Drosophila melanogaster: one gene and its partner. The protein of the gene in region 1 interacts with the protein of each later gene in a pairwise test. Each region holds a gene or a part of one and is shown in the gene's direction. Other genes may lie near its edges.

Region 1 (4,772 bases):
GTTTCGCCATCAGGTGATGGTGTTCCGCAGAAGCGGATTGACCGTCAAATTAACGAAGATGTGCGTAAACTGATGATGGGCCTTTTCGGTTGCCTAGAACCAGAGCTAGTTAGCTTCATCCAGAGCTTTGAGCGTGTAGACAGCTTGTAAGTAAACAATATAGTAATGGAGTAAGGAGTAATTAACAAATTTGTTTTCGTAGCTACTCTCTGTACGTTTTTGTGCGACTTACGCAGCACGTCATGTCCGCCCAGGACACACATTCCTTTCTTAGCATGACCTTCGCTTCCGCCTTGGTGCAGGTGAAGCGGAGCTTCGACCGCTTTATGCAGAACCAACTACTGTCTATCCGGGAGGCAAAGCTGCACAAACGTTCTAAGGCCATTCTGCCGTATGTGGAAAACTTTGAAAACTTTGCCCAAACTGCAGAGGGCATATTTCGGAAATCGGATCGCCGAACGGACATGGAGAAGTGGTACTTGCAGCTGGTGAATGCCATATTTGAGGGCATCCAACTGCATTCGCAGGAGCACCCCAAGACACCAGTTCAGGTAGTGCGCATGGAGAACTACCACCACATGTACGCTTTGTTAGCCCAGCTCAAGGTTCCTGGTCTGGACGCCCTGAAAAAGGAGGCCAAGAAGTGTTATAACGATGCGCTAAAAGCGTATGTGACTCAGTACTTCGGCCGGCCGCTGGAGAAACTGAATGTAAGCCAAAGTCAATGACCTTCCAGAAGAAAAGATAAGTCGATCTTCATCTCATAAATTTCCGTTCTGCCTTTGCAGCAATTCTTCGAAGGCGTGCAACTTAAGGTGGCCCAGGGAGTCAAGGAAACGGAAATCAGCTACCAGATGGCATTCTCCAAGCAGGAACTCCGCAAGGTGATCGCTCAGTATCCTGCACGAGAGGTGAAGAAAGGACTGGAGAACCTATATAAGAAGGTGGAAAAGCACCTGAGCGAGGAGGAGAATCTGCTGCAAGTGGTATGGCATGCCATGCAGGAGGAGTTCATTGCCCAGTATAATTACCTGGAGGAGCGCATCCAAAAGTGCTACGCCGGCGCCATGATCAACCTGGAGTTCAACATTCAGGACATACTCGCCTTCTTCTCGGACATAGCGCGCTCCCACTGATCTAGGGATTGGAATCTGAAAGTCAGGGAGCGGTTCAACCGGGTTTTATTTTTAAGTGCAATAGTATTTAAAGCGCTGTTTCTGCTGATTGCAAAATATATGGCGCGTATATTTAAACAGATGTGGATCTGCGAATGTTCGAAACGTCCAAGAGAGAGGGATCGCGTAGTGAAAAATCAACGAGACTAGGCCTTAAAGGGAACTTTTCAACAGCTAGCCATTGAAGTTGATTATTGTATAAGTTCTAAGCTAAAATTACATAGCCAATACTCAACTTTTGTCCAAGAATGCGAGTAAACTAAATTTTATATATAAAAATGTAGAATTTCTAGAGATCTTACTTGATCTTTAGTACGTCAGCTTTTAAAAATCACAGATAGAAGTTTGACTTTTTGTATTTATACTTTTATAGTATAACTCTAATTTACTACCGTGCACATTCAAACAGCCTCCTAAGGTCAAAGAGAGCTCTTCAAGATCAAAAGAGATAGATCATAGCCTAAAGAGAGAGAGAGAGAGAGAGAGTGCTCGAAGAGTGAGCTTTCCGGGGTGGCTTTTCGTTCGCCAGCCGTTGGAGTTCGGGCTGGTGCTCCCAGTCAAGCCGCGCGACTCTTTCGCATCGGTTGTCGCCTGTCCGCGTGATTTACCCAACTGCAGTATAAGCATTTTATTTCGTGTATTTTAAATTGTTCTAGCCGTACGTGTTTCCGTGTGTGCTCATGTGCCGTGTTGATAACTCCGTGAAATGCAAATGGTAATTGCAAATGGCAAATGGCAAACGGAAAATGGAAGAAGCCGCAACGACTTGCGACTGAATGTGGTGCATATTTTATGAAGCTCCGACAGGGAGAACAAAAAGTTAGACTACCGCCGAACCGATCCGATCCGAACTGATCCTCCCTCCTGTCTGGGCTGTCCCATAAACATGGCCACCATAGCGACCCGTCCGACCAGTTTCGTGCTGTTGTGCGGTTGTCGCTCCTGACTCGGTTCTCCCTACCTTCCCGTGACCCCCATCCCCATCCCCGTCTACATTCCCATTCCCATCTCCTCCAGCCGTTCCATTCCTTAGCTTACCTTAGCCTGTCTTGCCCTCCGCCTTGCATTTCTCATGCACACACGTTGCCCGCTTTTTGTGCTTTTCGTGCGCTCCCGTGCTCATGTTCTTCCACTTTTTCGGCAGCCTGTAGTACAGTGGATGCCGGTTAACGGAAGACATTTACATTTTAATGCATGTTCGACATGGAAAACTAATCGGATACGAAACGCATACAAAAAGACTATTCTTTTTAGGACCTTAATGAGATGCAGGAATACTGAGTCTTCAGACGGCTTTGGAAATTTAATAATATAGGTTTCTTAGATAATCATTTTAGTTTTCAAAATCAATAACTCTACTTCATTTTAGGTTCTTTCATAACAAGCTTATATCTACAATAGTTTGGGATCACTCGGCATAGCTCTTTGCGTTTTTCAAGCCAATTTCCACTGTTTTTCTTTCCTCGCAATTCCTCTTCAACACAACTGCCTTTTGTTTTAGCCTTAACTGGCGGTCATCACAGTTGCTCTTGCCGTACGTATATTTTAACGAAGTTTCGCTGAAACCTGGCCCACCTTGATAAGCACCTGGAAAGTCAGTTGGTCGCGATCGTCTGGCAAGTTCAATGCTATGATATTGGCGCTGCATTTTCGACTTCCGCTATAATTAGCTAGCTCAACTCTTTGGCCCTTCGATTTCGCAGACCACTGTACTTGTTTTGGAAGAAACGGATAAAGTGCGATAAGAGTGCAACTGTGTGAAGTGATTAAGTGGCAGAGTTATCTATGTCATCAGTAAATGTTGTAATCACCGAGATGATCTTGAGTCATGAAGATATCAGGGATGAGTGGCCTCCATGGCTTAGCAGCATGAACTTGTTAGCATGATAATTATCTTTAGAAAATGCGTAGGTTTGGAAATTCTTTCATTCATATCTTAGTTTTAGAAAGCTCGTATCTGGTTACCTCAATGCCAACTTTGAAATAAAATTTTGCAAATATGCATATTACTGAGTGCGCCAGCTGTATTCACTCAAAGTTTATGTATGAATGAATATAGTGTCAGATGTCATCATGAGCATGCGGCGATATCAAAGTTCTCTTTTGATATATGTACATATATATGCGAACCTTATTTAATTTCACTGATTGTCCCCATTGAAATGTTTATTTGCTTATTTTAATTGTCGTTCCACTTTATTGTTTGCAGGCAGGCTAAATATTTTTCTCACTTGATAACCGTAAAAAACCAATGTTCCACAACCCATTTACTCGTTCTACACAATAATATTATATAAAAGGGAACATTTAAATGTTTACAGAACTAAAGATTTAATTTTCAGCTGAAAAGTTGGAACAGCCTTTAAACTAATACTACGATACAAAAGCAGTTAGAACCGAAAACGCGTTTGTTTGCTTACATTTTAGCACTTGATAACTGCGATGATAGTACGTCAGAGTCACTCTTGTTTTCATTCTAAATAGAGTGTTTACCTGTTTGCGTGGCACACTAAGCATTTTTCCAAAGGAAATGGCATATGGCCGTGCAATATCCGCCGCAGAATGCATCGCTCGCTAAATATTTGCACTTGCCCATTATCTTTTGTTTCAATATTATACTCAGCTGCAGAGTCGGCAATAGAGGAAGGTTCTCCTCCCGCCCCCACCCACAGCTCGTCCACTCCTCCGCTTTCCGGACTTACCGCCAATTTCCCGAAGGGGAAGCCATCAACTTTATGCTTCGTGACTGAGTCATCAGGTTTTTTACTCCATCTCCCTCCGGTTTTGGCCCGAACCAGAACCCAAGTTTACTTGAGGTTAGCTGCCAGCGGCAGTTTTTACTTATCTTTCGTTCTTTCTTCATTTTCGCTTCTTGTTTTTTTTTCCCCCCTGGCAACTGCAATATGGCTGGCCAGCTGTGGGCCGCACATTTTCATTTTAGCCCGCCCAACTAACCGTTATTTTGCGATGGGAGTAGGGCTAGACTCTAGACTCTAGACTGGCTAGAATCTAGACCTAGACTAATTAATTCCACATTTTCTAGCGCTGCTGTCATCAGCAGAACTGACCATCGGCGCACTTGGCACCTAATCTCCGCCATACGTGCTCAGCTATTTTCTTAATATTTTCGGTGTGTTTGGCAATCGGAAAAGCTTAAACAATAAGCGCCGTAAGTGTGCTATGTGGATTTGAAACACCTATATACAGGTGCTAGTATAGTTATGTGCATGTTTTATAATGCATGTGGAAAAAAGAGTGTGCGGCTCACATTGTTCCGAACAATGGAGCGTTATACGATAAAAAGTGTATAAAAAGGCCGAAACGGGGGTTGCATGTCACCCGGCTCAGATCGCTCGTCTCAGCCCTGAGAAAATGAAGTCACTCTCAAATAAATAAAAACACAGGCGAGAAGAGTTACGGCAAGTGCTAACTGAATCTGAATATAGCCACTCACATAATACCTGACTCTCGCCCCGGTCGGTGAATCTTTATTTATGGCTGTCGTGTTCTCAAATCCATGAGCCATGTGAACTGTGTGAACCCATCTCAGGCGTTGTAACCAAATTAAAACGGGCAAAATGCCTTTAAAAGTTAACA
Region 2 (7,050 bases), on another chromosome or scaffold:
CATTGATGACATCCCGCTTATGTGCACGGTTCTTTAGCAACGTCTTGTTCAGCTCCAGCCGTTCGCAGGCACGATCGTAGTACTTGGCGAAGCCCTTCTCGTCCCACTCATTCGGATTCGCTGCCTCCAGGGTTCTCCTGTACACCGTTTCCCCCAGCTCGCGCTCGTCTATACTATCAAGGATTGCCTCGACAACAAGGAACTGGTTATTGCGCACTGCCAGGTGCAAAACTGTATAACCATCATCGTTGGTTAGCAGAAGACTGTTCAAATCGATTCTGCGCAACAGCAGCCTAATGGACTCTATATTTATATGGTTTATCACCGCCAGATGAAGAGCTGTGTTTGAGTTCTCGTAGAGGTGGTCGGTCATCATGCGAGCGTCCAGGATGAGCGATACAATCTCGGTGTCCGTGTCGTTCGTCAGCGCAAGTTCCAGGCAGTCCTCGCCGTCCCTGGTGAGTAGTTCGTTGATGTCCATTTTCGCGTGGCAGCACACAAATATCTGACGCTTAACGCCGTAAACATCGCCGTGCAGTATTTCCTCGTGAATGGGTCTGAAGTGCCATGTGAAAAGATGATATCATTACGATGATGATGGTCTTATTCGGCTAAATGAATACTTACAGCAATCCTTCTTCGGACATTATGTGCGACTTTCTGAATTCGTTGGCCATGATGCGTATAATGCGGTCCTCGGTGTTTCCGCTTATAAAGTTTTCCACCCGGGTCAACTCATCGGAGTTGAACGATATATCCGACAAGGTAGAGTTTCGGCGTACAGGGGTTTTATTCGTGATCTGATATGATTCGAAGTTTTGCGCTTGCTGTAAGAAAGATATTTATAATAAAATCGTATATATATTTCCATTCGAGATTTATGAACTTAGTACTTTCCAGGAGGAACTACTACATCATAATAATACTTGTACTTACGGTGACATCCCTTTTCTTCCGTTTAGTGATCACGGGCGTCAGTTGCTTCTCCTCGCGCTCCTTAAGCGCCATCTCAGCCGCTGATCGCTTGACCACCTGTGGCACGCAGGTGTTTCGCTTTCTACCGCGCTTTTTAGGAACTTTGGTCGGATCTACTGGCGGTTTTATAGGTTCGGAACTTGAACTGGTCATGTGGCTATGCCTATTCCCTTTGGCTTCGCATGAATTATTTGTAATGCCAGGCATATGCGTTTCCTCGGTGTCCCAATCCGTTTGTGTAGATGAATCGACTTTTTGGACTCCGCACGAACATTGTTTACCGTGATTGGAGATAGCGACCTTATCGTTATTATTGCTCTCGTTTATCGCGTCGATCACCCTTTGGGTAAGGGCTTTGTCTGGGATTTTCATGAGTAATTTGAAGATGTCCTCGTAGACGGGCTGGAAGGACTTGCGCTGGATGTAGGTAGAGGCACTATGTGGCGCTGAGATGGATATCACTCGCAGGGAACCGACTGGTTTGATCACCAAAACATCCGAACTACTAGCGACGACTGGTTGGATGTGCTGGGCTTTGGTCAATAGAACCTTCTTCATCGTGGCCGTTTTACAATGCACTGCTCGATCTCGCAATATCTACCAGCGATAAGGCCGTCAGCTAGTGATTGAATTCGTGGGACTTCCAAGTTTAGGACGATCAAAAAAAAACTAATTGGTTTTTCCCCACGACACGCTGCACGGAATGGCAAGTAGCGGCACTCGGACGCTGCTCAACACTGCTCCTAAGGATGGTTGGTGAGCAGTCAGACAAGAGCACTGTTATTGCTGATAGCTAATGTAATGTTTGTTTTTTAAGAAAAGAGTAGTTTTCGTTAAAAAAAACTTTATAATTATGTTATGGTCTAGAACCTAGAGTTTTTAATGCTTAAAAATATATAGCCATCTTTCGTTGCAAAATACATAAATATAAAAGGGCCATCTCTAGCTTTAGAGAATTATCGGCGTTTCGCTGCGAATGGCACATCGAGTATTCTTGAGAAAAAAGATACGGTGGTCCTCCATAAGGAACCGGGATAAAAATATTAAGGCTAAGTTACCAAACAGATCGTGAAGGATTCCGCATCGAAGCTCTATTGCCACTGGTGCCTGCCCAGCGTCTATGCCAAAGCAAGTCGGCAATGGACTCGAGTAGTCGGCGCAGTTTTTCTGGTGGAAGTGAAAACGAGGGTGGACGGGGCAGCGACTACTATAGATCCAGGCCGGGGTCTCGATACAGTCGATCCAGGTCGCGTTCCCGGTAATTCTACCCTACCAGCGTAATGCGATCGTGTTTATTAGTACTGTGTACCCTTTTCAGTGAGCGCAACCGCAGCCATGGAGGAATCAGGCACCGGAACTCTCGCTCTCGAAGTCGGGATCGGGATCGGTCGCCCGTGTTCAGAAACGATCAGCATCGCGGTGGTCGAGGAGGAGCTGGTAACGGGGACCCCGACCTTTACCACAGCCTGATCAACGACGACTACAGGGATCAGGATGAGCGCAACTACAACTCCAGGAGCAACTTTGAGAATCGTCAGTTCCGGCGACATGATAGCTTCGACCGTCGGCATCGGGACCGAGATGGCGAGAGCGATCGGGAGCTAAACGACTACGAGTACGAACAGCGCTCCCGCGACTTGGACTCACGTGATCGTAGCTCCACGGACAGGGACTGGTATCACAACAGAAGTCGGAGCAGGGAACACAGCAGACCCTGGAACAGAAACAACAATCACGACGACAGAAGCAGAAGCAACGAGCGAAACACGTGAGTATAAAGTATACATACACTTCAGGCTAAATAATAAATCGGACCGTGCAGGCGCCACCGAGATCACCGCATGTACAACGGCGGTGGCAGCAACCATAATCGCGATCGAGATCGAGATCGGGATAGGGAGCAAGACCGTGAACGTGATCGAGATCGAGATCGGGATCGTGAGAGAAGGGGCTCCTCAGATTACGACAGCGATGAAGGCCACATGCGCAGGAACAAATACCGATCCACCACTGAAGCCCTCAATATTATTATAATCTTCGGTCTTACCAAGGAAATGACCAGAGCAGATGTAAGCCAAGCAGAAGAGTGGCAAATGCAACTCCTTTAATTACTCATGAACTAACTTTTTTTTTAGATTATGAGCGAGCTGATAAAGGTGAACATGGAGCCAGCGTGCATTCGCATTATCCGGAAGCAGGGAACAGGTGGGTTACGAAATCACTGACTTTGTTCTTTCAGCGTCAGACGTAAGTAGGTCCAAAAAGTTGGAGCGGCTTCGCGCTAATGGAGGCGAAGTGTACAAGTACCAATCGAATTTAACCGGCCACATGAATCGAAAAGAATACAATAGTCCACAAAAATGTTACAAACCTATCGAAACATTCAACATTTTTTGACGAAAACATTTTGTATCTGCTTCTATCCGAAAATTTAGATTCATCACGCGGTATAGCGTTTGTCGAGTTTAACACCGTTGAGGAGGCAAAGCAATGGATGGATATTACACAGGTATCAGCGCAATCGACCAGATCCCCTTGAAACTTTGATCATCATCAGCAGCCAAGGTTGTTCGCAGGCAATGATAATAAGGAATTCCTCACTGTTTAGCTTGCTTTGTCCAACTAAAAGTACTTATATGTAGTTGCAAGGAAACTAAGCACGAGTATAGTATTGCTTCATTAGAATTGCCCAAGAAAGCCACTCGAGGAGATTGCCAGCGGCTAAAACTTCGCGTTACGAAACACAGATGCAATCCGGTGACTGTGTAGAGTGTGAATGAAGGCATCCTAGCGATCGGTTACTAATCCGCAACCTTTCCTTCTCCTATTTCCATGTCTGGCGCACCAGGGCGTTCTGAAGTTAAACGACGAGCGGGTGAGCATGCGGTACAGCCACAAGCGAATTCAGGACTGGAACTGCAACAAGGTAGGTGCACTGAGATGATCATATTCTTAATGGCGAGTAATGTGTTTCGCTTGTTCCAGTGTGGCGTCTGCAACTTCAAGTTTAGATTCTATTGCTTTGTGTGCAAAACATCCCGGGAAGACAGCGAAACCACCTTCTCCTCCGGTAGCGAGGGCGTGGACGAAGTCAGCACCATCCTCACCAAAAGTATACAAACCACATAGACTCTCTTGCCATCTCGTTTTGTAGCTTCGATCGCAATGAAGTCCAACAGACCACTGACCGCCACGATTTCTCTACCACTTCCCCAATCCACGCAGAGATCATGCTACGCAACCTGGACGCCCTGACCAACGAAGAGGCTGTGCTCACTGCCCTCCAACTTCACCTAAAGGATCTGAGCAAGACCGTGAGCAAGGTGCTAATTAGTCGGGATTCCTTGACGCAGGCATCGCGTGGAATTTGTTACCTTCACTTCGACACTCTTGTCGACTCGATGAATGTGCACAATGCCTTGACAGCGCTGGATCCTCCACTTACCTTGGACGACAGAGTTGGTATGTGGCCTTAGGTGCTTTTTATAACTTAAATAATAACCAATATTTCATCCAGTGGCCATTACCTATTGCATCGACTTGGAGGAGCAGCAAGCATTGCCCAAGAACCCTAAAGAATTGGCAGTTAAAGATTCAACTGTCAATAGCGGGAACATTTCAGCAGTTTCGCCCTCAGGATTGGGTGGAAACTATACTCTGGCCGATGTGCCACGACTCGCTGAATATAGTGCCTCCCTGTACGCTTCGAATCCCGCAGAGCACGCTTATTATGTCCAGTACTATACGGAGTACTACACGGCAGATATAAACAAAAATAACAGGGATTCCCATTTGACGGAAGCCAATTCCGGAGCAGCGGTTGCCCTCTCGGCCATCCAGCGCAAGCAGAAGAAGATGAGCAGTATCGAGACCACGATCACAGCGGCGGCCACAGCTGCCGCACAGGCAGCGGCGCAAGTGAAGGCCACATTGGCTGCTCAGGTGGCCAGTGCGCCCAAGGGCAACGATGGAAAGATATACCGTATGTCGCCACTCACTTGAGTATGCTAGCATTTTATTATGTTTCATTATGTTGCAGCCACTCCCGATGTGACGCAGTACCAGTATGATGAGACATCCGGCTACTATTACGACAGTACCACGGGTCTCTACTACAATGCCCACTCGCAGTACTACTATAACAACGAGACGGGCGCGTATCTTTACTGGGATCAGCGCAGGAGCACCTATGTGCTGGCCACGCCCGCCTCCACTCAGGCAGCTCTGCAGGAAGTCCTGGCCGACGCCGAGCAAAAGGGGGAGGAGGAGTCCAAAAAGGCGAAGGAGAAGGAGGGTGGAAACAAGCACGACAAGGTTAAGGTGGCGAAGAAGATCGTCAAGGACATGGAGAAGTGGGCCAAGCAGCTAAACCAGAAAAAGGACTACACAGCTGTGGCCACGCCACAACCAATATTGGCGAACGAGGTAGCCACCACTTCGCGTGGCAATCAAGGGGGATATGCTGATGTGGGATTCTCCATTCTCGAGAAGAAGGAGAGGGGCAAGTTAAACGACTATGCGCCAAACCCGACTGTGGGTCCAATGAACAAGCTTGTCAATGCCTATGGCGGAACATCGGACTCTGAAGAGGACAATGCTGCGAGTTCGCAAAACACACAGAGTTCAGCGGTTGTAAGCGGCGGAGGAGGTGCTGAAGAGTCCGATTACGTGGACTTCCATAAACTGACATGCCTGCTCTGCAAGCGTGCCTTCCAATCGTTGGAAATACTCCAGAAGCACTTGAAGATGTCCACTCTGCACAAGGAGAACCTGGCCAAGCTCAATCAAAACACTAGCAGTAGCATCGAAGAGGCACTAGCGTAAGTGAAATCGCGATGTGTGGTGGAGTATATTATCATTGAATTCATATTCTTTCCCAGCTATCGTGATCGTGCCAAGGAGCGCAGGCTGAAGTACGGCGAGAGCGATCCTCCCCCACCAAATAGGAGCAGGGAGCGATTCGAGCAGGAGATCAAGACACTGCAGTCGCGGCAAAAGCAGTCTACTAGCGCTACTCCAGCCATGCCCATCAGTTCGAGCAACGTGGGCAGTCGACTGCTCCAAAAGATGGGTTGGTCGGAGGGACAGGGACTGGGCAGGAAGAACCAGGGACGCACCCAGATCATAGAGGTAACTGAGCTGACGGCAAGCTATAAAATGAATTAAGAAAATTAAGCATTTTGGGTTCCCTCAGGCGGACGGACGCTCCAATTACGTGGGCTTGGGCAACAAATCGGGACAGATGATACCGGGCAACGACTACAAATCCTATATAAAGAAGATGATGAAGCAGCGCTACGAGAATGCTTGAGAAATTGGTTTTTAGCCGTTTCACATGTTTCATTTCAACTAAAGTCGCCGTTTAATTCAGCTTTTCAACCGAAGCAAAAATTATTTCCATATTATATATGAAGCTTCTTGAGCATTGTTTTCCTAACAGATTGGCGTTTTTTTAAGTCCACGAGCAAGTGTGACCGTTTAGTTAATAGTTTCTGATTAAGCGAATTTAAATCCTTTTTCGAATGTACAAAATAAAATGTAACGGTGTAAAGTTTAAATTTGCTTGGTGTTGGGAAACAACTGTTAGCTGGCACTTGGTAGCCCTGGAGCTATCGGTCAGTTATCGATAACTGGCAGTCAGATACTTCGGGTGAACGGCAAAAAAGAAGACCGAGAATTTTTCTATTCGGGTTTTTTTTTTTGGCCGGATAACTGATTGTTTCTGCCTGAATGCAAAGAGACTTCCAGTTCGGGAACAAGTTTAACCAGCTTCCAATCCTGTTACAGTCGTGGTAACCAAGTAAGATGTGCGCACATAGACGGTTCATCTAATGGCAAAAGGCCAAATCACAAACACTGCATTTAATTACAATCGATTCGCATTAGATATGGATTCTCGATATGGTCACAGCTTCTCGGGCGGCAACGGAAACGGCAGCGAATCGGGCTACAGACGCTACAGTCGCTCCCGATCCCGATCCAGGTAGGTAGTCCTTTGTCCACCTGGAGCCTCTTAGTGGATTACTACCAATTGCGATTATTTCAGGGAACGAAGTCGGGACCGCAATGAGTACA

The links. Proteins that work in one complex are often made in the same cells at the same time.
Region 2: the proteins of blot (region 1) and CG4887 interact in a two-hybrid assay, tested with the Drosophila melanogaster proteins (one large-scale study listed by BioGRID).

Annotation. Positions count from the first base shown.
Region 1 is NT_037436.4:17,418,472-17,423,243, reverse strand, and holds the start of blot (bloated tubules), read left to right. Parts: upstream 1-1,729; 5' UTR 1,730-1,890; intron 1,891-4,772. Other genes in the region: Sec3 (secretory 3), read left to right, coding at 1-146, 203-710, 789-1,136.
Region 2 is NT_033779.5:1,171,087-1,178,136, forward strand, and holds CG4887 (uncharacterized protein), read left to right. Parts: upstream 1-1,922; 5' UTR 1,923-2,114; coding exon 2,115-2,233; intron 2,234-2,293; coding exon 2,294-2,743; intron 2,744-2,797; coding exon 2,798-3,044; intron 3,045-3,110; coding exon 3,111-3,180; intron 3,181-3,410; coding exon 3,411-3,484; intron 3,485-3,823; coding exon 3,824-3,901; intron 3,902-3,960; coding exon 3,961-4,087; intron 4,088-4,200; coding exon 4,201-4,437; intron 4,438-4,492; coding exon 4,493-4,957; intron 4,958-5,014; coding exon 5,015-5,795; intron 5,796-5,855; coding exon 5,856-6,105; intron 6,106-6,169; coding exon 6,170-6,286; 3' UTR 6,287-6,503; downstream 6,504-7,050. Other genes in the region: charon, read right to left, coding at 1-557, 628-827, 937-1,533; CG4896 (uncharacterized protein), read left to right, coding at 6,864-6,958, 7,022-7,050.